3 linked regions of the Rhinolophus ferrumequinum genome follow. The protein of the gene in region 1 interacts with the protein of each later gene in a pairwise test. Links are inferred from orthologs where the notes say so. Each region holds a gene or a part of one and is shown in the gene's direction. Other genes may lie near its edges.

Evidence for each region.
Region 2: the proteins of PPP1CB (region 1) and PPP1R16A interact in binary tests that used the Homo sapiens proteins (3 or more experiments, as listed by UniProt). The two-hybrid records come from large-scale screens. The link is inferred for Rhinolophus ferrumequinum from reciprocal best matches to the Homo sapiens genes PPP1CB and PPP1R16A.
Region 3: the proteins of PPP1CB (region 1) and PPP1R3B interact in a two-hybrid assay, tested with the Homo sapiens proteins (2 studies listed by BioGRID and IntAct). The link is inferred for Rhinolophus ferrumequinum from reciprocal best matches to the Homo sapiens genes PPP1CB and PPP1R3B.

Annotation. Positions count from the first base shown.
Region 1 is NC_046296.1:52,231,858-52,241,554, reverse strand, and holds the start of PPP1CB (serine/threonine-protein phosphatase PP1-beta catalytic subunit), read left to right. Parts: upstream 1-5,150; 5' UTR 5,151-5,285; intron 5,286-5,341; exon of another isoform or gene 5,342-5,527; 5' UTR 5,528-5,615; coding exon 5,616-5,667; intron 5,668-9,697. UniProt on the Homo sapiens protein: Protein phosphatase that associates with over 200 regulatory proteins to form highly specific holoenzymes which dephosphorylate hundreds of biological targets.
Region 2 is NC_046297.1:73,171,684-73,181,919, forward strand, and holds the start of PPP1R16A (protein phosphatase 1 regulatory subunit 16A), read left to right. Parts: upstream 1-5,689; 5' UTR 5,690-5,823; intron 5,824-10,236. Other genes in the region: kinesin-like protein KIFC2, read left to right, coding at 80-201, 306-429, 547-1,020, 1,128-1,379; FOXH1 (forkhead box protein H1), read right to left, coding at 2,162-2,953, 3,065-3,169, 3,498-3,671. UniProt on the Homo sapiens protein: Inhibits protein phosphatase 1 activity toward phosphorylase, myosin light chain and myosin substrates.
Region 3 is NC_046287.1:68,532,167-68,542,414, forward strand, and holds the start of PPP1R3B (protein phosphatase 1 regulatory subunit 3B), read left to right. Parts: upstream 1-5,701; 5' UTR 5,702-5,908; coding exon 5,909-6,045; intron 6,046-6,923; exon of another isoform or gene 6,924-7,130; intron 7,131-10,248. UniProt on the Homo sapiens protein: Acts as a glycogen-targeting subunit for phosphatase PP1. Facilitates interaction of the PP1 with enzymes of the glycogen metabolism and regulates its activity.

The DNA of each region.
Region 1 (9,697 bases):
TTGCTATTAAATGAATGCAATTTAACCTTCCTTGATCTCAACTGCACAGTGAATAACTTGAAAAGTAATTGTATCTTTTTAAAAAAGTTCCCAGCACATGTGTTCACTCCCCTTTTTCCATCTGCCCTTACATTCCTTATCTTTTGGTTTGGAGCCAACTTCTTCCTGGCAACCAAACCCCCAGACACCATGAACTACCCTCAGCCTCCCCACCCCCCTTATTGGATCCAAGGTATCAGAGCCTCCCTCACTGTCCAAGCTACCAGACTAGTCTTTGTTTCACATTTAGTACCCAGTCTGCCTGTGAATTAGAACTAGAATTGTATTCCGACCTGTTGCTCAGGGTGGTGGCAAACACTGATAGATGGTTTCTGCCATGCCAAATTAGAATCCTCAATGGCTTCTCCCCATAAACTTTGTTATAATTGGTGGTTAGAGTCCATATTACCATGGATACTCTTCTACAGTTACATTCAGGATTAAATTGATTTTGCAGACTGATCTGGGAATTTAACCACCATTTGTACCACAGTCTCTGTGGGAAAATATACTCTGTGTTCCAAACAATTGACCTTTTGGAGTTGATCCAGTTCCTAAGTTGGGGACGGCCTGTACAATATTATGTTACATTTTGGGTTTCATTTGTGTTTCCCAGAATCAAAGACTTGTTAAAGCTGGAAGAAACTTTGATCATTTATCAATGGACTAATTTTGTAGGTAATAAAGCCAAGGTTCAGAAAGATAGAGAGATTTCTTTACAGTTATTCAATTATTCTGGTCTCCTACCTCTGAGCCAATGCTTTTCCCACTCTCCAAATTGTTTTGTGGTCTTTTCCTCACATAGTCATTAAATCACTTAAAAGTTGGGAAGATCACGTCTTCCCCAGCATGGAATCAAACATACTGAATGTTTCATAAATACTTAATTGGTTCATTATTCACTTTGGTTTCAAGGTCTAGTCACTGTAAGTTTCTTTAAATAACAAATACCATTGGGGCATTTCAATTAAGAATTTATTTACAATAGACTGGATTTGTTTTAAATCAACATTTGAATAATAATTCATAAATAGTCTATTTAACCAGTGTTTCCTACCTAAAAGGACTACAGTGTTGGATGTCATTGCAATAAATATTTTTCACAGCTCACAGACACATTTGGTTTTAGTTTTAGTTTTACATGCCATTAATTTTAATGTGGTCTTAAGGAAGAGATTACTCATTTTATAACTACATTAGAAAACTTAATAAGGCTTTGTTTGCTTGTTTACTAAAACCAATTGAAACAGAGTCTTATGAAACAATTCAGAAATAAACTTTCTCCAACTGAAAAGGTGCCTCATGCATAATTTGGATATACTGTATGAGGAGAGCAACCATCATAAGAAACAAAGTATTTAAATTGTTTTATTTGAAACACAATGTCACATTTTATATACTTTTCTTCACCAACAAACACCTTTAGTTACTTCCTGGTATCTGTTTGAAAGAGCAGGATGGGAAAGCACTGAAAGAGAAACAATCTCATGTATGTAGATGACATGGTTTTATTGTAACAAACTAGGAATGACCTAAATAGACAGCTGGCCCTGTAATCTAATTACAAGAAAAAGAAGGGCCATGGATCAACTCTGCAAAAATTTAACAGTCATCCTTTGTGGTAGCTGCCCATCAATTTTAATTGCCTTATAGTTAACAGTTTTATACAGCCAGTTAACTCCTTCCAATTATCAGGCATTTATTTTGTAGTCATTTTATCTTGAAGGATACACTAGAGAACTTAAGAGATGATGCTCCAGTGAGAGTCTGTGTGTACGTTGGGAAGTCAGAAGCGTGAGGGTGGGGGTGGGGAGGAAGCAGGCTGCTATTATTGGCTAAGGGAGAAGAGGCTTTTGGTTATATCTGGCTTTATAATTTTGGGGGCAAAAATAACTGAGGAGGGGCGGCCAGGTGGCTCAGTTGATTAGAGTGCAGGCTCCCAACAACAAGGTGGCCGGTTCAATTCACGCATGGGATTGTGGGCAGCGTCCCCTGCAACTAAGACTGAAAATGGCGACTGGACTTGGAGCTGAGCTGTGCCCTCCACAACTAGATTGAAGGACGACTCGGAGCTGATGGGAATTGGAGAAACACACTGTTCCCCAATATTCCCCAATTAAAAATAAAATAACTGAGGACATGCTTTATGACCTAGCTGATAACTTCGGCAGTTGATGATTTTCTCATATGTGTATTGAAATGAAAGCAAAACTAAATCTTAAGGAAAAATCTTCGCACTGCCCAGGTATACCACCTAGGCCTGGTTCTGTATTGAGGGATAGGCTTCTACTGAAGCATATATCCTTGTCTGGTTTCCCAATATCCTGGAATTGAGTTGACTACAAAAGCCAAAGACATTTGATATACAGAATGGCTGCCCTCCAGGTATATCTGGTAAAATTTAGAACTTACTGCCACTTAAGACTTATTAAAGACTTGATTAAGAGGTATCACATTTATGGAAGGACAACCCAATGAATATCCATCCATGCATTTATAAGCTATCTTGGATTAGTCAGGCAGCAAAGAGCTATCACTATCACAACCTCCACATTTTGCTATTAAAACCTACTCACTTTCACACTATATTGGCCACTGACCAATATTGAGAGGCATATAAAACATCCCTATGAAAGTCTGTGCTGTGTTTACAAAAAATAAATCATGAGACTATTGTTCCCTGTGTTCCAAAGTGCCTTCTTTGAGGACAATCCCTAGAAACATCTCTCTGGTCTCAGCACAGTGATGGTTGGGTTCCTCTAAGCACTGGTCTGTCTTTAGCTAATGGGCACTGGCATGTCCCAGACATTTCTTGTTATTAAGTTCAAATAAGATCATGATTTTATGAAGACCCACCATCAAGATTTCCCAAGCCCCTTGCAATCAGGACATCCAATTTCCCTGCACAGACATTTCTAAAATTACCCAAGGATATTGACATGCGGTAAATGTTTAACAACCAGCGTCCTGGTGAAAAAACTATAGATTTGTAGCATGTGCTAATTTCCTTGGTGTAACTACTCCCACCATGGTCAACATGATGTCACTGAACAAGGAGATGGAAAGAGATGCATAGTAGCATATGATTATATAGTATTCCCACAATAGAGATAAAACAGATGCAAACAACTTCCATACATAATAGTAAAATGTAGCAACATAAATAGGATGTGATGTTTTGAGTAATCATTACCTTTGTTTTTAGTACTGTATAATTTATTTGTAAGTCCATATAATTTAATTTTAAAATAATAGCTCTGTTTAACAATTGGCTTGCAAAATTCCTAAAAGTTTTAACAAGTGGTTCTCATGAGCCAAAGTAAACTGGCTCCAACACACCACTATCTAAAGCCCACTGGATTGGGAGTCCCAGATAATAGTTTGCCCTTCCACCTGTTAGATTAACAATCCCAGTGTAACAAGGAGCAATACCTTACCCTGATCCCTTTTCTAAGTCTTTTCACATGTCCAAAAAGAGTAGGAGGCAGTTTCCTATATGCATGCAATCAAAACCACTACTTGCCAGTCTGCTGCTCCACGGTCTGCTGGTCTCCAGGCTTGAGTGCTCACCATGGTGCCTGGTCCAGCCAATGTCTCTTACACCACTGGCAGCCTTCTTTTGTCTCTGCTTCTAAACTGTTGGCTTCCCTAACTGATGACCTCCACTCTGCCCTTAGGTCAGTGCTCACACTTCAGTCAAGAGCCTCCTCAGTGTATCTGCCACACGAGGCTTCTCTCCCCTTGGTACCTACTCACCTACTCTTGAACCTTACTGTGGTCCCAACTGCCACTATTGCGGCTGCTACCTGCAGCCTCCGGATGTCCACCCCTTACTTCTTCCTCTGTCCTCAATTTCTTATCCAAAGTACAGATAAACTTTGAACACTGAGTTTCACGTAAATGTGGCACCAAAACTTATTTATCAAAGTAGGATAAAATGGAAATGAAGCATGACCTCAATTTTATAAAAGATATATATATATATATATATATATATATATATATATATATATTTAAGTAGTTTTTCAGAATTTATATACCTACCTCATAGGGCTGGTGTTAAGGATTAAATGAGATAACACATGTTAACATCTAAAACAGTGCCAGAGCACATACAGGGATCTCAATAAATGGTAGCTATTATGAATGATACATGAGCAGAAGCACTGCCTTGAGCTTCGGATAGCATCTTGTCTGAGTTTCTGGACAAAGTTGTACTTGAGGAATGAGTAAAAGGCCTTTGGTCTGACCAACTCCTAGAAAAGGGCAAAAAGTCGGACTCATCTAGATCCTTTGCATGCCCACTATCCCTCCTGCCTTTCTAGAGGCAGACTACTGTGGTGGAAAGAACAGCTGGACAAACAACCTTTCTGAGCCTTCGTATTTCTTTGTCCCTCTCTTCTATGCGCCAGACAGTTGGTGGGTTTACCCTGGAGGTCACAGTCAAGTGCAGGAGATAAATGCACGATCACAAGGTGGATGATTAAGCAATCTAACGGAGGGATGGACAAAAACGCACTGTGGAAAAATAGTATCCACGCAGCGGAAGATGTAAGATATGTGAAAGCAAACTATAGAACGCAGAAAGTGGTACTCATGTAAAATATTATTGCTGATGCGGAGCCTACTGTAACTATGTCATCCAAGGACAATTGGGCAACTAGCCTTGTGGAACGGTATCGTATAAAACTTATTAACAATGCCACAGTTTTCCCGCAGAGTAACCCCTTTTTGCTTTCCAAACGCGTAAACCCGAGTTTCAAACACGGGTAACGCCGTCCGCGTTTCCCGGTTAACGGAAACAGGAAGAATCGCTTGCAAAACCAGGGAATGACGCCGAGAAAAAAAAATTGAAGCGGGAAGGGAACAACTATGCCTCCGGAGCTCCCGGTCCTGGGCAGCTGGGAAGCGGGAAGGTCAGAGCTGCCTACGCGCGCTCCGTGTAATGGGAGCTCCGGCGCCGCAAACCCCAGGAGCCTCCGGGGCGCCTGCGCTGCCTCGTCGATTCGGCGCAGTGGAAGCGGCCAGAGAGGGCGACGCACCTGCGCGAAGGCGGCGGCGGCGGTGGCGGCGGCAGCGGTGGCGGCGGCGGGAGAACCGAGTCCAGTGCGATTGCGCGAAGGCCGGGGAGGCGAGGGGTGGCCGCGAAGGCGTGCGCCGTGCGCCTGCGCGGGCTGCGTGGCGCGGTGGCCGGGCCGGGCGGTGTGGAGTGAGTGTCGCTGCGGTTGAGGCCGTCGGCGGCGCTGGTGAGCTTTGCGGAGTTGGGCGGTGCCGTGAAGGAGAAGGAGGAGGAGGAGGAGGAGGAGGAGGTGGCGGCTGGGTCTGACGCGGCCGGGTTCTTGGGGGCTCCGCTTGCTTGTTTATTTATTTATTTACTGTGTGTACCTCCGAGTGCGCGCGCTCCACTACTTGGTGGGGAGGGGGTGGGGGGAGGGCCCGGGGGAAAGGGGGAGCTGGAACCGGGGTCGAAACGCCGCGTGACTTGTAGGTGAGGGAACGCCGAGCCGTCGCCGCAGCCTCCGCCGCCGAGAAGCCCTTGTTCCCGCTGCTGGGAAGGAGCGTCTGCTGCCGACAAGATGGCGGACGGGGAGCTGAACGTGGACAGTCTCATCACCCGACTGCTGGAGGGTGAGTGGGGGCCCGGCCGGCCGCAGAAAGGGGGCGCCTCCCTAAGTCATTTCCCCTCGGTCGCCGAAACCCGAAGGTACCCCCTTTCCCGCCCTGTGGCGGCCGCCGAGGAGGGTTGCAAAAGGCTGGTTAGCCGGGGGTAGGCAGGGCGAGAGGGGCTGTCCCGGCGGGCAGCCCGGTCGGGCCCTGTGGGCAGTGTCCCCGGACCTTCGGGGACTGGCATGGCGACGCGCCGGCCTGAGGGTGCGAGGAGACCAGGGGTGCTGGATGACCCTTCCCAAGGAGGGTGCCAGGATGCGTGCTCCGTGCATTGTCTATGGAACGTGTATTTCTTCTCTGTTCTTTGTGCATTGCCCTTGGCTGCCTCCTATTCTTGTTCCGTGAGTGAATTTTATAAAAACCTTCTTGAGATGCTTGTTTGATCTGTTCTGCATTTTTATATGATGCTATAGGAGGAACTCTATTTAAGGAGAGGATAACAGCGGGAGTTGAGTGCCTCCCATTATTTTGCTTAAAAAATAGTAAAAAGACTGACGGAGTTGAAGATGCACGCAGGAAATATGGAATACGTAGACAGGTTTGCCGAAGGGATTGGCTTTCAAGTTTGAGAATTTAACAGGTTTGAACAGGATTTAATTTCGGCACAAACTTAGCAAAGGTCTGTTGTAAAGCCTCTCTTGTGTTTTGAAAGTCTTCGCAGCTTTTCAAGTTCCCAGGCCCTTCTGTTTTGAATGGTTTTATGTTGGGGTGAGGGATTGAGAAAAAGAGATGGAGATGCCAAGATATTCAAAGTTAATCGCGGTCTTCTCCCAGTGAATCCCTTCACCCTGAAATTTGCGTCATCACTAATTGCTTTGTGAGAGTGTAGGGAAAAAAATTGAGCCTTAAAAAAATTTTTAGAATCTTTTCTGCCAGAAGTCCAAGGATTACATATGCACTATCTGTTATTATTTGCTTTCAAATTACCTGAAGGTAATTGATACAGTGAAGCAATTTGTACTTAACATTTGGAAAATCATCAGAGATTGTATGATGGGGGGCGGGGCGCTAGTTCCTTCCCTTTTTTTCCCAACCAGTGTCGGTATCTCACAGTTCTGTGTACAAACTACAGTATATTTGCTCCAGATGTGGAGGCCGCCCAGCCGTCTAATACTTAATAAAAAGCAAAGTTTTACCAGGAACTCTTCTTTACCTTTTCCTTTCCTACGAAGTTATTCCTGGGAGGCCCCCTGGTGCCTGCAGTCAGTGTTCACTGCTTACGACTGTGTGTGGGCTTTTAACAGATGTGAACATATTGAGACATTTGCTTTGCCAAAAATTTTATATTGTAATTGTATGTTGTTGTAAGAGGGAAATATAGCTATTTAAAATTTTTAATATCTTGTTAACTTTGGGGAAAGTTTAGGCCCACCATCATTTTTATACATTTTAAACTAGGCTTGTAAATGTCAATGTTTTTTAAAATTTCAACTTCTCCACTTTTGTTTTCCATATACCTACGTATTTATATACTTTATATGCATAAAACATAGTAGACTTATGTGTTTTAAAATGTTTGATCTGAAACCGTGTAAGGCAAATGCACCGTTTTATGATTATAGATAACTTAAGAATCTTCACTAGTGGATTATTCAAGGTTATTGGGAAAAAATTGGCTAAGTGAGTGATTCCATTTGTTTTTGTGAATTCAAATTAAATGTTTGGTGGTTCTGGTTTTAAACAATCATTTTTCCTTTTTTTTTTTTTTTTTTTTTTTTTTTAGAATCCTAGTCTAGACATTTTCTGTTTTTAAATTAGCAAACATTTATTGACCTGCTTTGTGCCAGTCACCAGGAATCTGAAGATAAGATGCAGTCCCTTCACTTGACCTCCCAGTATAAACAAGTGATTTTCAGGCTTTTTTAGCCTCCTCTCTTTTGATATGTTCAACACACTCCCATCAGTAGAGTTTCATTACTTCTTAATCCCAGGAATTATATTTAGTTTAACAGTGCCTCCCTGAGATTCTTAAATTCTCCAGGCTCCTCCTCTCCTTTCCCCTTTCAAAATCTAAACCGGTTAAAAGGCATCCAAAACAGACTTGGAGTTTCTAATAAGTAATTATTTTTAGTCTTCAAATGAAATTTTTTATGTCTGCCTTGATGTTCAGTGATGTTACATGCTAGTTAAATTTAACTCAAATTCAAGTGATGGCATTTTGTAAAAGTTGCCTAGCAGAATAGCTACAGTGAAAAATTCGTTAGTATTAGAGGAACATACAAGTTACAATTGGGCACAGTTTCTCTACATAGGGGGAGTGGAAATTAGCAGTGCTTGATCTCACTTTAAAATGTTGATTTGAGTTCCACAATATTGTTGATTCTGTATTTTTTATTATATTAAATTGCCAGTCAGCTGTAGCACTTTCGGTAAATATATTTTATGAGTTTTGCTTTGTGTTTTTGTGTGTGTGTGTGTGTGTGTGGGCATATCATTGATGCCATGTTTACGAAGTACATAGAATATTTTAACAATTTTATTATTTAAATAAAACAATATACTGATGTTTGGATGGTGCATATTCCTTCAGTATATTTTCTTGGGTTAAGTTTCACTTAGAACTATAACCAAAGACGTCTGCCACTCTATCCCTTGTAGTGAGTGACCCTGCTACCACATTCTTGTGGCTTATTATACGTAGTATTCTTGACTGATTGTTTAAATTGAAGCTAGTTCCTATGGTATCCTGGAAAATCCAGTAAAAACTTTTTACTTTGATGTGAGTTCCAAAAGGAGTTAGGATGGCAGTGAGAGTATAGCAGAGTCACCTGTGACTTGATTCAAACTATAAATGTTGACTGTATTTTGGAGGAGGTGAAATGGAAGAAGCTTCCCGCTAATTAAGACAGTGGTAGCTCTGTTCCCAACACTGACTTGATCCAAGTGTTTAAAAACTGGGCTGTACCAGTTAATAATTAACATATGCCTATTATATATGTCATATGTCATATATATATATATATACACACACACACACGTATATATAAAACTGTGTCTGGGACTTGCTTTTTTTCTGATTATACATGTAAGCATTCTTGTAGAAAATTTGTGAAACAGAGAAGTATAAATGGAAAAAAGAAAACCCAATTCTTCCATAATTCCACAATCCAGAGATAACTCTTGTTGAAATTTTGATACATTTTTATTTATATACATTGCACCATTAGAGTATAGCTTTACAGGTCTATTTTTCAAGTATTGTGAACATTTTTCTTTGTTACTGAAATGTCTTCACAAATACTTCAAAAGCCATTTGCTGTTATGATAGAAAAGTTTCCTAAAATTTTTTTCTTTTAGTTTGGTACAAAGCTAAGCTTGAATATTACATCATGAATTGTAGAATATTAGCACTCTGTATACTTCTGTGGCAGAATATGATTGTTTTTATATTTTTGGCTCACTAATAGCTTTATGAAAATCTTGGGATGTGTGTGTGCTTGTTTTTTAATCCATTTTTCACTTTATCTCAACCTGTCGGATATCTGAATTGGTGGAACTGCTGTGATCATTTTGTGTACATTTCCCTTCCTTTCTTATGGATCATGTTCTCTTACAATTTACTTAGGCTAACAGATTAAGCAAATAGGAAGTTTTCCTCTTATGTGTCTTTTTGAAGATTAAAAAACGGAAAGGATTTGAAAAATGAAATAGATTTTAAAAAACTACATTAAAGTCCTCCTTTTAAGTAATAGTTTTATTTAGATATAATTCACATACCATATAATTCACCTATTCGAAGTGTATAATTCAGTGATTTTCAGTATATTCACAAGAGTTGTACAACTATAAACACAGTCAACTTGAGAATATTTTTATCACCACCCCCCTCAAACAAACCCTGTCCCCGCTAGCCAGCCAGCACTCCCTTTTTTTCTTCACCTTCCCCCCCAGCACTAGGCAGCCACTAATCTATTTTCTGTCTCTGTGGATTTTGCCTATTCTGGACATTTTATGTAAGTGCAATCATATAATACCGTGTTTCCCCAAAAAT
Region 2 (10,236 bases), on another chromosome or scaffold:
GGAAGAGGGGAATCTGGGTGGCTCCTGGGGCCAGGGGCTGGGACGTGAGCACAGATGTGGCACCCCACCTCGTCCCCAGGGCCCACCTGAGAACCCCGGCATAGCTCCTAGGGCACTGCAGTCACTGTTCCGGGAGATGAGGGCTGGAGGGCAGCACCGCGTGACTCTCAGCATGGTGGAAATCTACAACGAGGCTGTCAGGTCAGCCATTCCTTGCTGCCTCCTACCAGCCTCTGGCCTCTAGCCCTTCTGCACCGCCCTGTCCTGCAAGAACCCCGGAACCAAGTCCTCCCCTTTCTCACCAGGGACCTCTTAGCCCCGGGGCCTCCCCAGCGCCTGGCTGTGAGGCAGGGCCCAGCAGGCCAGGGGGGAATCCAGGTGGCTGGCCTCACCTACTGGGACGTGCCCAACCTGGAGACGCTGCAGCAGGTAAGGCTGCGCAGGGGGCCGCGCAGACCTCCAAGGCTCTGCCCTGTGCTCGCCCCTAGGGGTGTGGACCCTACAGCAGCACCATGCAGCATGCAAGCCCTTTCCTCGCGTCCTCAGATGCTGAGCCTGGGGAGGAGCAACCGAGCCACTGCGGCCACCGCCATGAACCAGCACAGCTCTCGCTCGCACGCGCTGGTCACGCTGACGCTGCGCGCGGCGTCCCCTCCGCGCGGTTCAGGCACCGCAGGTACCACGGTCCGGGCGCTGCCCTGTGGGGGGCGTCCCTACATCAGAGACCGGAGCTCCCTCCACGTGGGCTCCCCCGCCCCTGCAGGCACACTGCACCTGGTGGACCTGGCTGGATCGGAACGTGCCTGGAAGGCGGGGGCCATCTGCAGGGCACAGGGAGACCCTGACAACGCCCAGCGTCTGCGGGAAGCCCGGACCATCAACCGCTCGCTGCTGGCGCTGGGAGGCGTGATGGCTGCGCTGCGAGCCCACCGGCCACACGTGCCCTTCCGCGACTCGCAGCTCACGCGCCTGCTGCAGCCGGCGCTGGGCCCCGGCACCACCGCGCTGCTGCTGCTGCAGGTGGGGACCGCGGCCCCGGCGTGGGGCGGTGCCCAGGGCCACGGGAGGGCGGTGTGCATGCTAGGCGCCACCCACTCGGGCCCGCCCACCAGAGCCGCTCCCCGCAGATATCCACGCGGCCCGAGGATCTCGGCGAGACCGTGTGCTCTCTCAAGTTCGCCGAGCGAGTGAGCAAAGTGGAGCTGGGGCCGGCCCGGCGCCGCAGGGTCCCGCGCTCTGGGACGCCTTCCTCCCTTAGCACCGACACACCATTCACGGGGACACCCTGCACCCCCACACCGTCCCCTGGCAGCCCAAGCCCCGGCCCCGACAGCTGCTCCAGCTCGGCCCTCGTGCACCCAGAGGACCTGCCCTCATAGTTATGCCCAAAGCGTCGGGTAGCGCCTCTGCCGGCAGAGGCAGCAAAGTCCCTGCACCTCCACAACCTCCTTGACTTGAGCTCCCCTCCCCCGCTCCCGGCGACGAGTGTTCCGCCCCGAGGAACAATTGCCGGCCCCCTCAGCCCAGGCCCTCAGTTCCCTCCTTATCACCATTTGCTGTTATCACAGCACCCGGCAGGGGATCCCAGAGCTGCCACAGTCGCCATCAAAAATCAAGACTTGGCATTAAATGTTGTCTGTTCCTTTACTGTTATCTTCCCCACTACCACCACCAAAACCAGGTATGGTCCCTGTTCCCTATGCCCTTTCCCCCAAAAGGTGCTACCTCCTTCCCAGACAGTTGAGGGAAGCCAGGACTTCAGGCTGGAGCCGCCATTAGGTTCTCCCTCCCCCAGCCCGGAGCCAGGGGAGGGGAGGTGACAGATGGTGATGGATGGATGGATGGATGGATGGATGGATGGACGGAGGGCCAGAGAAGGTGAGACCAGGAAGGGCTACTCTAAGTGGAGCCCCAGTCTTGCCTCTGGGAGTAGGAGAGGCATGGCTGACCATCAGGTCCAGGGTGGTGACCAGAGGGTCACCACAACCCTTTGTGGGGTAGTCCAATAAACATTGTGGACTCTTGGCAGGGCTGGTGCCTGGTATTTCAAGGCTGCTGTGGCCACAGACACCTCTTGGTCCTCTTAGCCTTGGTCCCCCCCCGAACAAGCCACTGGTGGCAGGAGGGAGTGGGAGAGCAAAGCAATCCCTGGCCTGCAGCCTCACAGGCTGTACCAGGAGAGCAGCCAGCCTGGGGTGGGAGCAGCCAGCTCCCGGGGGTGGCTCACCCATACATCGTAGATGCTCTTGTTGGGTGGTACCCCCTGGAAGAGGGCATCTAGGTCCCAGAGCAGTCCTGGGGGGCTGTGGGGTTCAGGAGCCCCCCAGTAGGCTGGGCTGGTTGAGGGTGGGCACTGGGGGCAGGAAGTGGGTGGTAGTGGGGCCAAAGGTATTACCACATTGGGGGTGTATATGGGCAAGTAGGAGGTGGGTAACTGCCCCCAAAGTGAGGTCCTGTGACCCCCACCGGACAGTCCCCCAGGGTCTGGGGTACCCTGCAGTAAGTGGAGAGGCCAGGCTCTTGGCTCAGGGGAGAGGGGCGAGGGCCTGCTGGTTCCCACCTGGGAAGTCTCCCCCTCGGCTCTCATGGTCCCCTGGAGGGGGCAGAGGGGCCACAGAGGCCTCTCAGAGGGCAGGGGTGGTGTGGGCACTACCTCTTCCTTCCTTGGCAGGGAACCGGCCCGATCTGGGCTGTTCCTTGGCGCTCCCTCCCCGGGGTCCCCCAGCAGAGACTTTATGCTGAAGCCCTCGCTGGGCGGCCTGGGAGGTCGGTAGGGCCGGCCATGGAGCACGTAGGGGCCCAGGTCCTTGGCGAAGGCCCCCCGGGTACCCCTGCTCTGCCAGCGCCGGCACAGGGCCGTGTTCTGCAGACGCAGTGCCTCGGCGGGAATCAGGCTCACGTCGACGGCCCAGAAGTTGCCCTTGGCCTTGGGCTTCGCAGGATCCTTGGGCACCTAGGGTGTAGGGGTGCAGGCTTGGTGGGGCCTCGCGACCCGGATACTCGAGATTTCCGCCCCCGCCCTGGCCCCGGCTACGCTCCGACCCCGACCCTCGCCCTGCCCCACCTTGCGGAAGCATCGGTTGGAGGAGAGATTGTGGCGGATGGAATCCTTCCAGCCCTCGTAGTCGTCCCTGAAGAAGGGGAACACGGCCTGGACCTGACGGATGATCTGAAACCATGGGGCGGCGGGCAGGCGCCGTCAGCCCGGGCGCCGATGGGGGCAGCGCCGCCCCTCCCCCACAGCCGGGCTTGAGGCGCCCCTGCGCCGCTCCCCCAACACCTTTGCGCCCGGGAGAAGAGGGCACTTCACCGGGAAGGGTCCTGTCTGAGCATCTCAGCTCTCTCTCGGGGTGCCCAGGTCGGGACTGGACCCACTGGCATAGCTGGCGAGGCCAGGTGGGGGTGGAGATCAGAGCCTGAGCGTCGGAGTAGGTAGGGGACAGGTCTGGGAAAAGGTCCCACCAAGGAGTGTGAGGGACAGCGGGGCACCCTCTCACCTGGGCCAGCTTCAGCCTGCGGGAAGGTGCTGCCTGGATCACCAGGGCAATCATGGCCAAGTAGGTGTAGGGGGGCTTGTCGTGCCGAAGGTATCTCTTCTTCCTCCTCTTTGGGGCCTGGGAGGGTGAGTCCCTCCCGGGATGCCCCAGGCTTGGGTTGCTGCAGGGCCCCATGAAGGGGAGGCCGGCAACGTGGACAGGGGGCTGGCCCGGTGGAGGGCACGGGGAAGTGGGGCAGTAATGGGGAGGCAGAGCCTGGGCCTGAGGCCGGGTGGGGGCAGGCCGGCTGGGCCCTTTATCATTCGGATGGAAGGGGGAGGGGAGGAGAGGCAAAGGGAGGGTGGAATACAGCAGTGGGGGAGGGGAGCATGCAGAGGGCTGCCACAATTAGCAGGTTTCGGTTAATCTGGAAGGGAGGGGCAGGAAAGATTCCAGAGGGGGTTGCAGGCAGCCACCCAGGCCTCATTTCTCGCTCCTGGGCTGCCTTTGCCCCGGCACAAGCTGGAAGAGCCCCTGGAAGGGGCCTGTGACCCATGGTTACTTTATCAGTCTGTCTGGGCTGGGTCCCAGGCTCCCATTTAACAGACAGGAAAGTGATTTGCCCTAGCTGCCAAGGAGGGGTGGAGTCTACCCAGAGTTCAAGGCCAAGCAGCTAGAAGGACTTTAGTGGTGGTCTGGGAGGGCTTCCTGGAGGAAACCTCAGGAACAAAAGATGAACACAGTTGATTCAAGGGATTTTCCCAAGGGGGTCACTGGCCACCTCTCTGGGCCAAGCCTCACGGATACAGATCCATGGGTCATGGTCTCTGCCCAGGAGAACCTTCGAGGACCACCTGGCTCCACCCTGGGTGGGAGTGAGTGCAGGTGTGTTGTGTGTGTGCACAGGGAGGGCTTCCCAGGCAGCCACAGGGCCCTGAATCTTAGTCTAGAGGGAGGGAGATGCTCCCCAGACTGGTGGAAGCTGGCCTCAGTGGAAGAGGAGCACTCTAGGAGAGGTAGTGAAGGCTCAGGCTGGGGAAGCCTGAGGGACCAGTGACCCCTGCTCAGGCCTGGTCAGAGCCTCTGAGGACTTTAGCAGGGAAAGCACTGATCTGAAACTGTGGCCCTAGAAAAACACCTCTGGCAGCTGCCCAGAGACTCACCACACCCTCTTCTGTCCCCTCACCTCCTTCCTGGCTATGGGATCGGTGGCTCTGCCCTTGAGGTCAGTCAAGGCCTGTGCTCTGTACCCTGCCTCAAAGCCCAGATTCCGCCCACACACACACTGGGCAAGTTTGTCCAAGGGATATCAGGCCCAGGGCACTAGCAGTGGTGGCTGGTGTTGGTATCAGGGCCCTCAGAACTGAGGGAGGCTACAGGAGCAGAGATACACTTTATATCACTTTACTCCAATAATCCAGCTTTTCTTGTGCAGCTCCCCCACCCTGTTATACTCTTAGAGTGTTGAAAATCTGCAGCATAGAGTGTGTGCCTCCTCATTCTGAGGCACTGAGGAGGGTGGGTACACTGGAGGAAGGAGCCTGGGGCTGAGATAATGTGTGTTTGTGGGGTACCACTGTTCCCCCACTATCTCAGACTGTCCTTTCAGACTTCACCTGGCTTCCTCTGAACTCCTGTCACCTGCTCTACTCCTTTCTATTCCCAGGTTCTCTAGTTCAGGGGTTGTTGTGTCTCACTAGGCTGTTACTACCTATGGCCTCCTAGCCCCCCTTGGTCAGCAAAGAGGTCTTTTTCTCCTACACGTCTTAAGTCACCCTCTCTCCCCACTGGCCCTCCCTAGCTTCCAGGATAATGCCCAGCTCCTTGGTTTGGCGGTCAAGGACCCTTGTGTTCTCACTACTCATCTCTGACCACACTCCTCATCCCCCGCCCCCGCCCTCTTAAACCATCACCTCTGCTTCCCATTTCCCCCATGCACTGGGTCCTTCCACCTTTGCGCTTGCTGTTCCCTCCGCCCGTCATGCCTTTGCTTTGTCGGGTGAACTCCGGCCCTTCCTTAAAAGCCCAGCATAAATAAATGACCTCCCTCCTGGGAGCCTTTGACTACTTGCCCTTCCCGCCCCACCCGGACCCCATCCACGCCAAGGATGCCCCTGCCAGAGAGAGGCTCACAGGGCACGGTCCGCAGAGACCCACTAGTTGCTCCGGGCAGGCCCCGCCCCCAGCTCCCACGGGGCGCCTCGGCTTCCGGTTCTGGGCCGCGCGGGCCGGAAGTGTAGCGTTGCCATGGCGACGGCCGGGCGCGGGGCCCGCCCCTGCGGCGCCCGCAGGAGCGCGGGGCTGACTGACCGGTGGACCGGATCCGATCGACTGCGCGAGGCGGAAGGTGAGGCTCAGACTTCCGGGGCCTGTGGCGGGAGAGAAGGACGGGTCCGGGGGAGCGAGGAGGCCGGGCTCCGGGGAGGAGAAAGGAGGCCGGGCCCCGGGGGAGAGGAGGCTGGGCCCCAGGGGGGAGAGGAGCCGGGCCCCGGGGGAGAGACGAGGCCTGAGGGGAGGCTGAGCTTAGAGAAAGGAAAAGGGGGGAAGACCAGATTGAGACGGGGAGGAGGAAAGCCCAGATGGGGCGTCCTCAGGAAACACCTGGCCAGCGCGGAGAGGCCAGGGCAGCAGTCTCTCCAGGCCCCGCTCGGACGCGGTGGATGAGGCCCAGGGCAGTAGGTGCGAAGGGTGGAGAACGGCTTCTGGCAGTGACAGCCCGTGAAGGCCACCGGAAGGGCTTCTCGTGGTTTACCTGTATGTGGAACGGTTTGCATTCTTGCAGCCTGTTGGTCGGGCCGGCAGCTCTAGAATGCTCTCCATTTCAGCGGGGAAATGAAGGCCCACAGGGAAGTGACTCGCACGGGCTTTGTGTGGGCTTTGGAGGTGGGCCAGCGGAGAAACCGAACCTGTCTGGGACAAGCTCCTTAGCTTTGCGTCGGTTCAGGTGACCTCACCTGCAGTGGGGATCCCGGGCCCCACCTCACAGATGGGGTCAGGAGGAGAAGTACTCAGGCCCCGTGCTGTGTGGGAGGTGCTCCGTGAGTGGGTTGGGCCCCTCGCTGCCCTGAGGCTGTCAGAGGCCGAGGTGACCAAGGGATTAATTTCCATGGCTGCAGAGAGGGGAGGCGTGTGTGGACTCACTCCAGAGAGAGGCTGGCCCTCCCCAAAGCTCTGGGCCTGCCTTTTCTTCCTGGACCCTTAACTCGGGGGTGGAGGTGGCTGTAGAGGCACCACACTGCTCCCATCTCTGCCTTGGCCTAGCAGTGAGCCTTCCTGGGCATCCGGACCGCCAGGCGCCCCCCGGCAGGACTGGGGTTTCCCTGTGGGACATGTGAAGAGGTCTGGTGCTCCTGACCTTGCTGCCTCGTCCACTTCAGGGGCACCGAGAGAGCCCCCACCTGGGGCCGCGTTTCCTGAAGGGCTGGTAGCTGCCTGAAGGAGCCTGCACATTGGCCAGCCCTGTGTTCTTCCTTGTGATGGGTGCGTGTGGCTCTGAGTGGCCAGCTGCCCCCCTCCCCGACCTGAGCTCCTCTCAGAGGCGGGCGAGGAAGCATGAGCAGGTCCCGGCCTCCCTCCTGATGCCCAGGCTGGATTTCCTCCCTGTTGGCTGGAGCCCCTTCCCCTGGCCGGTCCTGGCCAGTCCTGGCCTCTCCCTCACCTGCTTGGGGCATGCCTGAGCTGGCCAGCACCTAGGAAAGAGGTTACCTGTGGGCTCAACGTTGGGGTCTGTGAGGGATTTCTGAACCCCTGGTCCCACTGCATGCAGTTTGGGAATCTGAGTCTTGGGTGAACCCTTGGTGACCCAGCATATTGTGTCTGCCCCAAGAGTGCCCGCCCTGGTGCCTCTGCCAGAGTCCACCCGTTAGCCAGAGCAAGACATCTGGGTGGCACTTCCAAACTTTTCCCTCACCTCCAGGTTCTCCCAAAACTTCCTTCTAAATGTCCCTGATCCGGGCCATTCCTACCCATCCTTCAGCCAAAAAGCCTGGTGGCAGCAGCTGCCCCTGGCTGTCTTCTTGGCTCTTGCCAGCCCATTGCCTTCATCTTCCTCACGTGAGCGAGTGAGTGACCTGAAATGCAAATCTGATTCTCGTATCTCCTCCATGAAATCCTTCCCCACAGATGTGAGGATAACATGTTCCTGTCTTTGCAGAGTAGCCCCCCAAACTCTGTCCCGACCACCTTTGCAGGCGTGACACCACGCACCACCATACTGAACCCCTGCATGGTGGTGGAAGGGAGAGCGAAACTACCCCTACCCTTTCCAGGCTCTGGCCTTGGGCAAGGCCTTGCCAGCACAGCAGGCTGAGAAAGGAGGGCGAAGAGGTGCAGGAAAGCTTAGTTCTACAGACGCCCACCTCGGTGTCAAACATGAGAGAGGGTGGGGAGATAGAGGGTGACGGTAACCACAGAAGACCTCTGAGGAGGTAACACTCAAATTATGATCTGAGTTACAAAGAGGGGAGAGCGATCCTAAGATCTGGTGGGAGAACTTTCCCAACAGAAGAAACGGCCAGTGCCAAGCAGGAGCCGTGCTGAGGACAGCGTCGCACAACCCTGATGGAGCAGGGGTCACACGCGGTCTGTGAAGGGCCACATAGTAAACATATAGACCCCGAAATTTCAATCTCATGTCATTTTCATGTGCCACAAAATATTCTTTTTTGGTTTTTCCTGACAATTAAAACGTGTAGAAGCCATTCTTCACTCATGGGCCACATAAAAACGGGTGGCAGGCCGTAGTTCGCTAACCCCTGTGCTAGACACTGAAAATGCTGCATGTCTAACTCTTCAAATCCTCTAAGACCCGTTTAGGGAAGGTACTGTTATCATTCCATTTGTAGATGAGGAAACTGAGGCCGAAGAGGTAAGAAACTTGACCGATCTCCTCAGCTTCTGCCCCTGCTGGACCTGGAATGACTTCTGCGGGCCAGGGAGTGAGTGCTGGGTGGGACATGGATGGGAGGGCCAGGAGACACAGGCTCGGACCATGCAGGGTATTAGAAGCTAGGGCAAGACTTTGGAATTATATACTGTTACTGTTTTACAGCAAACTTATTTGAGGTATAATTTACATATAATAAAATGTACTTGTTTTAAGTGTATAGTTGGGTGGGTTCTGCTAGATGTGTACACCCTGGTAAACACCAGAATCCTGATGTAGAACCTTCCGGTCACCCCCAGAAGCTTCCTCATTGCCTCGTGGTCGGTCCGTCCTCCCTCCACCCGGCCCCAGCAGGCACTGCTTTCTGTTTCTGTAGATTCAGTGACTCTTTTAGAATTTCACATGAATGAATCCTAAGAATGAACACTTTTTTTTTTTAAGTGTGTTTTTCCAGGACCCATCAGCTCCAAGTCAAGTAGTTGTTTCAGTCTAGTTGTGGAGGGCGCAGCTCACAGTGGCCCATGTGGGCATTGAACTGGCAACCTTGTTGTTAAGAGCACCGTGCTCTAACCAACTGAGCTGACCGGCCTCCCCGAATGAACACTTTTGTGTCTGACTTCTTTCACGTGACAGAGTGTTTTGGAAATTGATATGGTTGCCTTGTTCAGTGGTTCTCTTATTTGCCAAATGGTTCGGTGTTGTGTTGTGTGGGTATCCCACCATTTAATCGATGCACACACCCGTCGGTGGACCCTTCAGTTCTTTCCCATTTTTGGCTGTTATAAGTAAGGCTGCTGTAAACATTCATACACAAACGTCTTTGTGTGGACATATGCTTTGTTTCTCTTGCCTTTATTTCTTGCAATGATAGAAACGATGAAGTGTGTGCTTGACTTCACTAGAAAGTGCCAAACGATTTGCCAAAATGCCTTCGCGTTCATTTTACATGCCCGGTTCCATATTCTCTTTAACTCAGTATTGTCATCTTTTTCAAGTTCAACCATTTTCTCATGTGTGTGGTGTGGCTTACCATGGTTTTAATTTGCATTTTCCAAACGGATGGCGTGAAGCATCTTTTCATGAGCTTATTTTATTGGCCATTTGTATATCTTCTCTGTGAAGTGTCTGTTCAAATCTTTTACCCTTAGAAAAATGTTTTTTTTGTCTAGGAAGTTTTAAGAGTTCCTTGTGGTATGTGTGCGCTCAGGCTGTGGCTGGGCTCGGAATCTGCACCACTGTCTTCAGTAGCAGATGTTTTGGTTGTGACAAAGTCCGTTATGGTTTGTGCTTTCTTGTGTGGTGTGAGTATAGGTCAAGGATCATTGTTTTCATGTGGACATCCAGTCATCCCAGAGCCACCTGTGGAGATCACCCTCTCCCCATTGTTTCAACTCAACACCCTTGTTGAAAATCAATTGACAGTACATGTGGGGGTGTCTTTCTGGACTCTACTTTAAGTAGTCATCGACCGTATGCTAACATCACACAGATTTTGCACTGTAACTGTACGATAAGTCTCAAGATCAAGTACTGTAAATTCTCTAACTTGGTTTCTCTTTTTCAAATCATTTGGACTCTTCAAGATATTATGCAGTTCTATATAAATTTTAGAGTTAGCTTGTCAATTTCCACAAAAAGGCTTACCGGGATTTTGATTGGGATTGTATTGAAGCTAAGCTCTACTTGAGAAGAACTGACATTTTAAGACTATAGAATGTGGTATATGTATTTCTCCATTTATTTAGGTCTCTTTTTTAATTATTTACTCCTTTATAACAGATTGCCCTAAAATGGAGTGGCTTACAATGGTAAACAGTTATTATGTCACAGTTGCTGCTGGAGCTGTGTGGTTCTGGTTGTACTGAGCCTGTGGTT
Region 3 (10,248 bases), on another chromosome or scaffold:
AAACAAACATAAAAATAGAAAAGGAAGGAAAAGAACCAGGGTGAAAATCAAGGAAGAAAGAAGTAGTTACTACACTTTCGAGTCAATGAGACTTGAGAAAAACAGGAGACAACCGAGCCGAGGAGGGGATTCACATATGAAGATGACCAAAGAATTACCAGAAGAAAATAGGGATGATGCCAAATATCTTTGCTAAGGCTTAATATATGGTTAGATCCATTCCCAAAGCTTAGATGAAAACAATGTCCAAGTCTGGCTTTGTATATTTTATAGTCCTGGCTACCTACCAAGTAAGACTCATCCTCTGGTTAGTTATCAGGTGGTTGTTTCGAGGGAAGTGTAGCTTTATAGCAAAGTTGAGCAGCCTTTATAACGCATGCACTATTGTCCTCTGCTTTTTATAACGCAGTAAGTAAAATAACGATATTAGATAATGGCTCCCTCACTGCACCCCGAGATGTGTGCCTCCTTGGAAACATGAGCAAGGCCAGGGGCAGAGAAGGAATATTCTCAACATGTGGTGACTTCCCCGATGTAACTGCTCGATTTCTAGCTCCAAAACGGCCAGTGGCTCTGTGTGGAGAAATCGTTACCATGAGTTTCGAGAAGGAAGAATGCAGTCTTTAAGTCGTAATTCTCTAGAGGATATCAAATGATCATAAGGGAAACCATGAAGTCAGCTCAGCTTCTGACTCCACATTTCAAAGAAAAAAAAGGAGTGATAGAAAATTAAAGGTTGCTGGAAAACATAGTGGCACACATTTAGAAATCACTGTGCATAAATACTTAGTTTTTTACCTCATCCCTCAAGTGAGTCATTGTTTTCTTAATACAAATTATATCATTGCCTGTTTCTAAGAGTAAGATCCAGGAAGCATTGTAAATATCAGGATAGAACCGGCTGAAATACAATTGTTTACACAAAGCCCTAAAACGCTTGCTGTATCTGAAGCATTTGCTTCCAGGCACGCAGCAGAAACAGCGCAGACCTAAGGGACAAGGCATGCAACAGCCAAGTGGTCTGTCCCAATCCTCAAGGCAGCTCGACATGCTGTTCTCCTCCCCAAAATGCATGCCCCTTGTCATGAAATTCTGGATGCTATACGTTGCATCATATGTATATAGTTACATGTTTAAATATAATTTATGACCACACCAGTCATGAACAGGGGATGAATAACCAAAGAATATAAATATATACTGGTTTCTGCCTAATTCTTTTTAAGCCTGTGGCAAAGCGGTATTCGCTCGTTCCCAGTCTCTCCACATCTTCTCTCTGACCAGCACCACTTAATATCATTTAAGTCAATAATATGGGTTATGAAGTCCCCATTCCTAACACAAATTGGCTATGTACTTTGAGATTCAAAGTTAAAGCAAAAGACAAGGAATGCAGCTATTTTCACCCAGGTACAGAGTATATGACTCATTAGTCAAAATTCTCATTTTTTTTTTTTGTAAGATGAGGTATGTAATTTGCCTAAAGTCCACAAACCAGGACCTTATTAGGATTATTTAACTCTTAATTTTCTCCAGTAGTGGGAATAAAAAGTCAATACTAATCCTTCTGAGAACAATTTGGTAATATAAATCAAAAGTCTAAAGAAGGTCTATATTCTATGGGAAATAGGGTTATAAGAAATAATCAGGGTTCTAATCAAGATGGCGGAGTATGTAAATGCTGTGCTCACCTCCTCCCATGACCACATCAAAATTACAACTAAATTAGAGAACAATCAACGGGGAGAACTATCTGAAGACTAGCTGAACAGAACTCCTATAACTAAGGATATAAAGGAGAAGCCATGTCAAGACTAAAAAATTCTGAAGTTTACTCTCCTTCCCCCATGCTCCAAAAAATATAAAGATGCTTATCAAAGTGTATTTACAGTACAGAAAATTTGGGAAAAGAAATCTAAGTGCCCCACAATAAGAAAAGTTAAAGTATGTTCTCTTTGTATGAAGGAGTAGTATGCGGTCATTAAAAAGTATGTCCCAAAATTTATAATAATACTAACATACTCAAAATGAGAAGCAATCATGAGTTTAAAAATTCAGAAATTAAATTTTATATGTACTATGGTTGTGATACTATAATGTTTATACATAGAATAAATACTGGGGAAAAAAGACAGTGAATTATACTGGTAGTTATTGCTGGGTGGTGCTCATCTCTACATTTTTCTGTATTTTCCACAATGTTGACAATGATCTTGTATTCGTTTTATAGTCATAAAAATAATTTAAAAATACAAATGAAAGATATCATACCAGTTTTGTACAAAGCACTGCACAAGGTATGAAGCTGTGAAATAAATGCTGCTCTGTATATGTAGCTTTTAAAAGAGTGGTCCCTAGATCAACCTCACTCAGGAACTCAAAAGCTCTCAACAGTGAGGAAAATGCCCAGCTGGACTCTCAAAGCTTTGATGTGTAAACCACTTAAAGTCTTCTCCCATGCTAAGGACCCATCCTCCATAGACAGAGGAGCTTACAGAATCCCTCGGTTGGTATTCACCTGACTATCCCATAAGACATGATCTAGCAAGTCACTTTCTATCAAATCTGAAAGAGGGGCAGAGGGCCCCAGGTAACCTGATGCGCCCAGAACAAGTCCGTAGCTCTGACAGGTGCAAACAACTCCACTCGTCTAAATATAAACTCAGGCAGTTTGGAAACAGTCTTCCCCCTTTCTATTCTCATCAGGCACAAGAATGTTCTCTTCTTTAGTTCTGACTCTTGGTGCTGGTTATTTTTATTTAGATTCGCTCTGCAATACTTTTTATTCAAAGAGAAGCAATGTTATAACTGTAAAAAAGAAAAAAGCTTTCTCTTCTAAAATCGTGGATGAAGATATGACCTCGGTTTGGGCTGTTTGTGAAACGTGTTGAGAAGGAGAAAAATCATTTACAATATTTTTTAAAGCTTTCTGAATGAGCAAAAAGTTAACGTTAAGACATGCATAAAGCAACACTGTCTAATATTAAAGCCAGGAAGAGGACTTAATTTTTAATCAGCAGAGTAGAAATTCTTTGTGGGAACGTAGAGAACTCTGCACCTTTGCACCAATTCCTGCCATCCTCTCTCCTGTCACACTGTCACACCTCTAAACTCTAACTCCCCCTTCAGGACACTGCTCCGTGGTCACTTGTCCAGTAGCCTTTTGGGACTTGCCCCACTCCCCACCCCCACCTCCACAGCCACACATGTGCAGTCTTCCTCTTAGCTCCCCAAACACAGAGGTTTACCTTCCATATATTTATCCCACATCATTATTTAACCTAAGAGCTTCTCGAGAGTAAGATTATATTTCATTTTTCCATTTCCAGCACCTACACAGGTTTACAGTAGTTACTCAACGTATTGTTGAATGAATGAACAAATGGTTACCAGAGGACTGAAGGAGTCACTGACGAGCCCATATGCAAGGAAGAAGACAGTGCTACCACTAATGGACACAAAAAAGGAAAAGTTTATGGGAAAATGATAATTAGCTATGCTCAGCCACTGCCAATCTTTTAGGTTTAGTTAGGGGGAGGGAGGAGGGCTGATTCATTAAATGAAATTTGTAACTAAAATACCAGGTATTATAAAAGAAACTTGGTATGCATTGACTAAAGGGTTGAAATTGTCCATTTTTACTTTCTGCTATAAAATGAGAGGGTGAGGCTAGATCTTGTCCAAGGACCAGACCAGCTGTCAGGTTCTGGGGCTCTGGGCCTGCTATGAATTCTGCTGGAACAGTCCTCCAGAGCTTGCACCCCAGTTCTATTCTGATCGCAAAAGAGACTGTGCTCTTTTCAAACTCATAGACGCCACACTCCTACCTACCAAGGCTGTGGTGTGCCACAACTAAGTTTAGCCCCACACTCCAGGTCTGAAATAGTCACCTAAACCACAGGGGAAATTATTACCCATGGTTTCCTCGATCTATGTAAGGAAGATGCTTCCAAACCCTCATGCCATAAAGTTGTATTTACTTGTCCCAACTTCTGCCCAGCTTGGTTCAGATCACCCTTTGCCTGGACACATTTTGCAAGACCTATTGGCTCTTTATCTGCCCACTCCTGCAGCATGCTCACTACACTTGAGAAACGGAGCCAACACTTGGCTTAATAAATCTTCAATGTACTCATCAGCTAATAAAAGGGGAGTTAGAATTGGGAAAGGGAATATTGCATAGAAACTTTACTTGCCAACCACCTACCAACAGTTGATTTCACAGGTGGTCCTTTATCAGATTTGCCTATTGAGAGAGAAGGAAGAGGACTACCGACCGTCCTTCACACACGGAGACTACGTATGTCTGGGGAAGCTCTCTAAGCTGGAGGCCCGTATTAGATCATTGTAACCGACTAGAGTTTTTAGTCTTAGATGCTTAGATTAATTTGATTCTTCTCAGAAGGTGCTGCACTTTAATGAAAATGAAAATAATAGCTAATGTTTTTTCCTCCACTCTCCTTTCTATAACCAGTGTTTTAATGTTTGTGTGTTCTTTATAAAAGTTAGATGTGATTCATAATCAAAATCTGTTTTCAATATTGGTATGTATGTAAACATGATAATGCAGCCATTTTTATACATGAGTATAAATACAATAGTATTTTTAAAAGTAAAAAAAATAAAATAGAATCTGCTCTTATAGCCCTTTAAGCAGAAATTTCCAAATACCATATTCAACATGATGAATTTTCATATCGCTAAATGTTTCCAGTGCAAAGGACTGGCTTTTACTCCTAGATTAGGTCCTTCATGCATTTTGTTATTATTACTGTTAAAGAGAACTTTTTTTAAAAAAATAAAATGATAGTAACAGAAGATGGTAAGGTTTTGTTCTAATGTGTTCACTCCGCACTTTAAAAAGCTGGCAATCCTATATCAACTTCCAAAATTCATTAAAATTAGAAAACTGGGATCCTCCTCCTTAAAGTGACTAGCTCAAGGCTGATCACAAAGGAGATCATATATATGACTTTATAAAGATATATTTAAATTGATCTCATAGGAAAGGAAGAGCTTCTGGTCTCTTCTAAGCTCACCATTCTCTACAGACCTCATGATGTATCCTAGAGATCACAGAGGCCCTGTTAGATCCAGGTCTTTTTTTTTTTTTTAACAGATTCAAGTCCTTTAAAATATACCTACATGATAAACCCTCAACTACATATATGCTGTACTCTGTGAGATGGGTATTGGTCCTTTGCCCCAATAGCAACTTTCTAAAAAGAATTTTACTGTATTCCTTTCACAGTAACACCTGGACCTTGACTGCACAAAACAAGCGAACGATAATTGTTTTGACACTATCTCGGGAGCTGGGAACACCTATCCCGGAGAGACGGCCGCCTACATCGGAGAGAAACACAAGTATTCTCTCAGGGCTTCTCCAGGGTCCGCAGGTGGTAGGGGAGGTCATTTTCATGTGGGAACCCCCCAACTAAAGTGTAGATGAAAGTGGGGCCAGCGGGACAATACAGGAGGGCTTTGCCGGCTAGGGCTTTGCGTACGTAGCGGGACGCTTGTGTCCAGGTCTCGCTGTAATGGGATGCTGTTCTGTAGGAAAGTGCCTCTGCTCCCTGGCGCCCGTCCCTGGGCTCCTGATGAAATAATGACCTGCCGCCCTTCCCAGCCCCTGGACTGCGGCCCTATCACTCCCGGCTCTCAGCCGATCACGTGGAGGAGCGGTGCTCTCCAGGACCGCGGCTCCACCGCCATTGGTCCACAGCTCTCGTCCCGGGCACGCCCATTGGCTGCGGGGGGCGTTCACGTGAAAGGGGGTCTGGGATGGCATCCCAAGAAGGGAGAGGTGGCCAAAAAGTTAAAGGGAGCAGCGCGGCGGTGAGTAGCCCGACTCCCGGGTAGCGGACCGCAGGGAGGAGGCAAGCGGGCTGCTGTTGCGCACGGACGGATGCGGCTGCCAGCGGAGGGCGCGGACCTGAGTCCTGGCCCGCGCTCCTGCTGTCGCCCCCGCTGCCCCTGCTATCCCCGCGCGGATGCTGCCGCGGGCTGGCGCGTTTGCACTTCGGGGCTTATGAACTCTACCAGGTACGTCCTCCCCAAGCCCTGGAGTCCGAGTGCGGGACCGCGGAAACCGCGATGAGGGGCGCGCAGTGAAGACCCTCTTTGGTTCCTGCCATCTACACTTTCTCCGTCCAACTTGCAGTTGTACTCCAGGAGTGGAACACTCTAGACTGGTTCCAGGAAGCTGTTGCTTCCACGTGGGAAGAGCAATTAATTCAGGGACGAGTGGTGGGATGGGCCCCACGTGTTCCACCGAGATGCGGTCGGGGCCGCTAGGGGGCCGGGGGAAGGGGGGAAGGGTCTGGGGCTGGGACCCCAGATACCGTTGCTCCCTGTTGTCCTTGGTTCGAACCTGGCACAACGCGTTTCCAGCCTGGGGCCTGACACTTCTGGAGGGTGTCTCCGGAGTTGGGCGGTGGTCTGGAGCACAAGGAAAAGTTGCTTCGACTCTCTCCCGGCCTTGGTTTCCCCATAAACCTCAAGGGAACACCTAGTCTCTCAGGCCCCCGAAGGCGATGGGACCTAGAGCGCCACGATCGCCGTGGGCTCCAGGAGCCGGGTCACCCCCAGTCCCCAGACTGGGGCTGTCCTGGGTCGGCAGGGACGAGGCGGCCCAGCCCCACGGGGACGTGCGGCGCCGCTCCGACTGGTGTAATAACGTGGACTCCACTTCCTACTCCTACACCTTCTCCTCCTCCTCCTCCGGGAACCGGATTTAGTCCGGTCGCGGCGTCCTCCCCTGCCACCTCCCTCCAGGCTCTCCGATGCAGGGAACGAGCTGGAGAGAGAGCTGCCCCGCGGCCCCAAAGATTGGTGCCGGACCTGGAGAAGGAGGCTCGCGGAGGGGTTGGGGGCGGGGTGCAGCCAGAGAGGGGCCGGGTCAGAGAGGGGGCCGGGTCAGAGTGATCTATGGGATCTTCCAGCCTGGACACTCAGGCTTGCCCCTGGCACTGTGTTCATGCCATCCTTTTGAACACGGAGAAGGGCGTATGGATTAGAGGGCCCAAAACGACATGCTAGAAGATTTGGGGCCCGTCATGGCATTATTTCCTGCAGAAGAAGAGAAAATTGAGGGAAGACTACTTGGGGACTTGAAGCGGTGCTAGAAGGTGTGGTGGGATCCGGTGGGTTGTGTGGCCCCGCCTCCTTGGGAGACCTAGGGTCCAGGAGAAGAGAGCATTAGGGCTTTGGGCTGGGGTGCAGAGGAAAAGAGGAAATGGTTCATTTGGCAGGGTTGTCCCGGAGCCAAGATTGAAGCAAGCCAGCCGTAGGCCTTCCCACAAAAGTAAAGTTGAGGTATTTAGGGAAAGTTAGTGGGAAGAGAAAAACCATCAGGTATTATGAGCAACCAGAAATGTCAGAGCTAATAGGGACCTCGGAGGAGAAAGCTCAAGCCCAGAGAGGTTGAGTGACCTGCACCAAGTGGCTCAGCTAGGTGGAGGCATGCGCAAGCCAGTGCTCTGTTTCACGTTGGACATTTTTAGATAGCAGGGACTGTGCCATTTTAACCTATCTCTTTTCTATAATATGCAGCCCCATCCACAGATGATTATCTCAAAGATGTTTTAGATGATGGTGACAGAATAGAGGAGTACAAGTGGCTTTTAAGACTGTGAATAAGGGCCCCATTGTCTGAGTACAAAGGGGAAAATGTCAACTTTATTCATACTGTGTCAACCAAACCTTTGGGAGGGGATAAAAGAATGCTGAAGGGGTAGATGGCCATGTCTTCAAAAAATAATCTGGTTGTGACTGCTTATCTAGTGTAGTTTCAGTGTTCCTGGGGAGTGTGTGTGTGTGTGTGTGTGTGTGTGTGTGTTGGGGGTTATTGGTGTATCTTATTTTTCTGTCTTTGTTTATCAAAGTACAAGAGAATGGAAGGGGAAATGTTTTGGTCTCAATACAAAAAAGAAAATAAAATAATTTCCTATGAAAGGCACAGCCAGAAAGTAGCAGCTCAGCTGCCTGAAACTATGAAGGTCATAGGGTTATTTTCTGTACAAGCCTATATAGTTTTCACAAGAAAAAGCACCATGACCTCTAGCCCTGGCCAGCTGTCTTGAGATGGTGTGTTATTTGTCACTGGTGGAACAAGGAAAGATTTATGCAAAACTATCCATTTTCTCTCTAATTTTCATGGAGTGTTAGAGTTGTCCTCTTTTGACCAGGAACGCTGCAATCTAGCCTTGGGCATGGCCCAATCCCTCATGGGGCCACACTCATCTCCGGCATCTATTTGGAAGCAAAGTTTTTGAGCATCCATACTGGTCTGAGGAACAGCTACTCATATTCTCATGATCTTGTCCTTCAGCGAACTGGTATCCAGGTCCTTTGTCATGCTCTGCTGGGTAAAATGTGTGTCCATATCTTCTCATTCTCTTTTTTACCTTGGCCCGCCTTGGGGACTCATATTCCCTGGTACGGGCAAGGGAAAGGGCTGGAGTAGCAAGAGAGTCTGTCAGGAGAGGGGGCCGGAGGTACAGCCTGGTGCATTCTGCGTTGGAACTGATCATTTTCCTGCCATTTGAAGATAAAATGTCTGTCTAAGTGCTTTCCTTTCAGGAACTTAGGCAACTATTACCTTGTCCGTCTCTGTTGCTAGGTCTCCTTCTGGGTGAGGGTCATCCCTGTCACAGGCCATGGGGGAGTTCCTGAGAAGAGGGTCAAGAAGGCCTACAACAAACCAGCATTTGGGTGACCGATTCTCGGAGAATGTCCCAGTTCATACAAACTGGAATCTATATGTGAGAATAGGCGAAGTGGTTGACAGATCCTAGATTGAGGCCCCAGAGGTTAATGTCCTCACCGCCAGTTCTGGTGACACACAAAGTAAAGGGATTCTAAGCAGGACTTGCTTGTGCAATGCCCCAGGGCAGTAACCCTTAGGCCTCCAGGTGATTAACCGTACTTTTTGTCTTTCATGGAAGAATGTTGCAAAATCGATGAGGCTCTAGAAAGTGCCAGTGGAATTGTTTAATTAGCTCTGGCTCTGACTAGAACCTCACCTCCCGACCTCCAGTTCCACTTGTACTCACAGCTTCGTGGTAAAAGGGATCTTGGGCAAATTTACAGCACTGGGTCCAAACAGTGTAACTTTACCAAGTCTTCAACTAAGTCTTTTTAACCTGCAGGATTAGAACTTGAGGGTGACTTTGGTCAGCTGCAAATGTGCAGATTCTTTAACTGATTCCCTTATTTTAGAATTCTGTTTCCACAATATCTTGAGAGCTTCCCAGCCTTTTTCTAATGAGCTGTTTTAACGTGCAGGAAAGCACGTATGAGGCTGGTTTGCAGGCTAGTTGGCCAGGCAGAGAGAACTTGCAGTTGACCTTGTGCTGACTCAGGCAAGGAGGAAGCTGCCGTGGCCCAAGGAGGAAGCCCTCCTCCCTCAGTTCACACGGACGGACGTTGTCAAGGTTGTCAAGCGTGGACAGAGTGGGAGGGGCCGGGATGCAAGGCTTTGCTCCCTGTTTGATTGTTCATCTGTATTTAATAAATGATAAACAAACTATCTGTGTTAAAGTTAGAGCTGAAGGTGTAATTCTAGTACATTCTAATGAAGGTTGGCAATGGACAGGAAAAACAAAAATTCAAGTTTATGTGGTAAGTTTAGGGTTTTTTTTTTACATTGAACTCGTTGGTGAACCCACTGACTTTCTTAGAAGCTATCTTGCCCAATTCAGTCAGAACTCTCCTTTCCAGAACAATTGCACAAGTATAAGAACAGATCACAGAAAGCAAATTTGTCCCTAAAATTTCCCCTTGTTTGACTTTGTAAAAGAGGAAACAGTAAGACAAATATCCTTTAAAATGAATATTTAGATAACTATGGCTATAAATCATTGTTTTATTTGTCTCTGAATGGGTGCGTTTCTCCAACTGCTTTTCATCACTAAGTGATTCCTGCATCCCAGGGAAATGCTATACTTCTTTTGGAAAATAGAATCAAATCCATTATGTCTTTGTCCTTTCTCATTTTTTTCAATGTATTTGATTAACCAAAATCAGAAGGTGAAAAGGAGAAACTATTTGTTGGACCAAACCAGTGGTCCTAGCTCTTGTCAGATGATAAGCAACATTTTCCCTGTCACTTCTCCTTAACTACCACCATCACCCTGCCACCCCCACCACAGGGTGGGAAGTAGGGAAGGCCTGAAAAGTAAGCACCCCAACACACTGCCACATTAGTTCCCAAACATATCCCAAGCAGCTATGTTTGGGAACTAA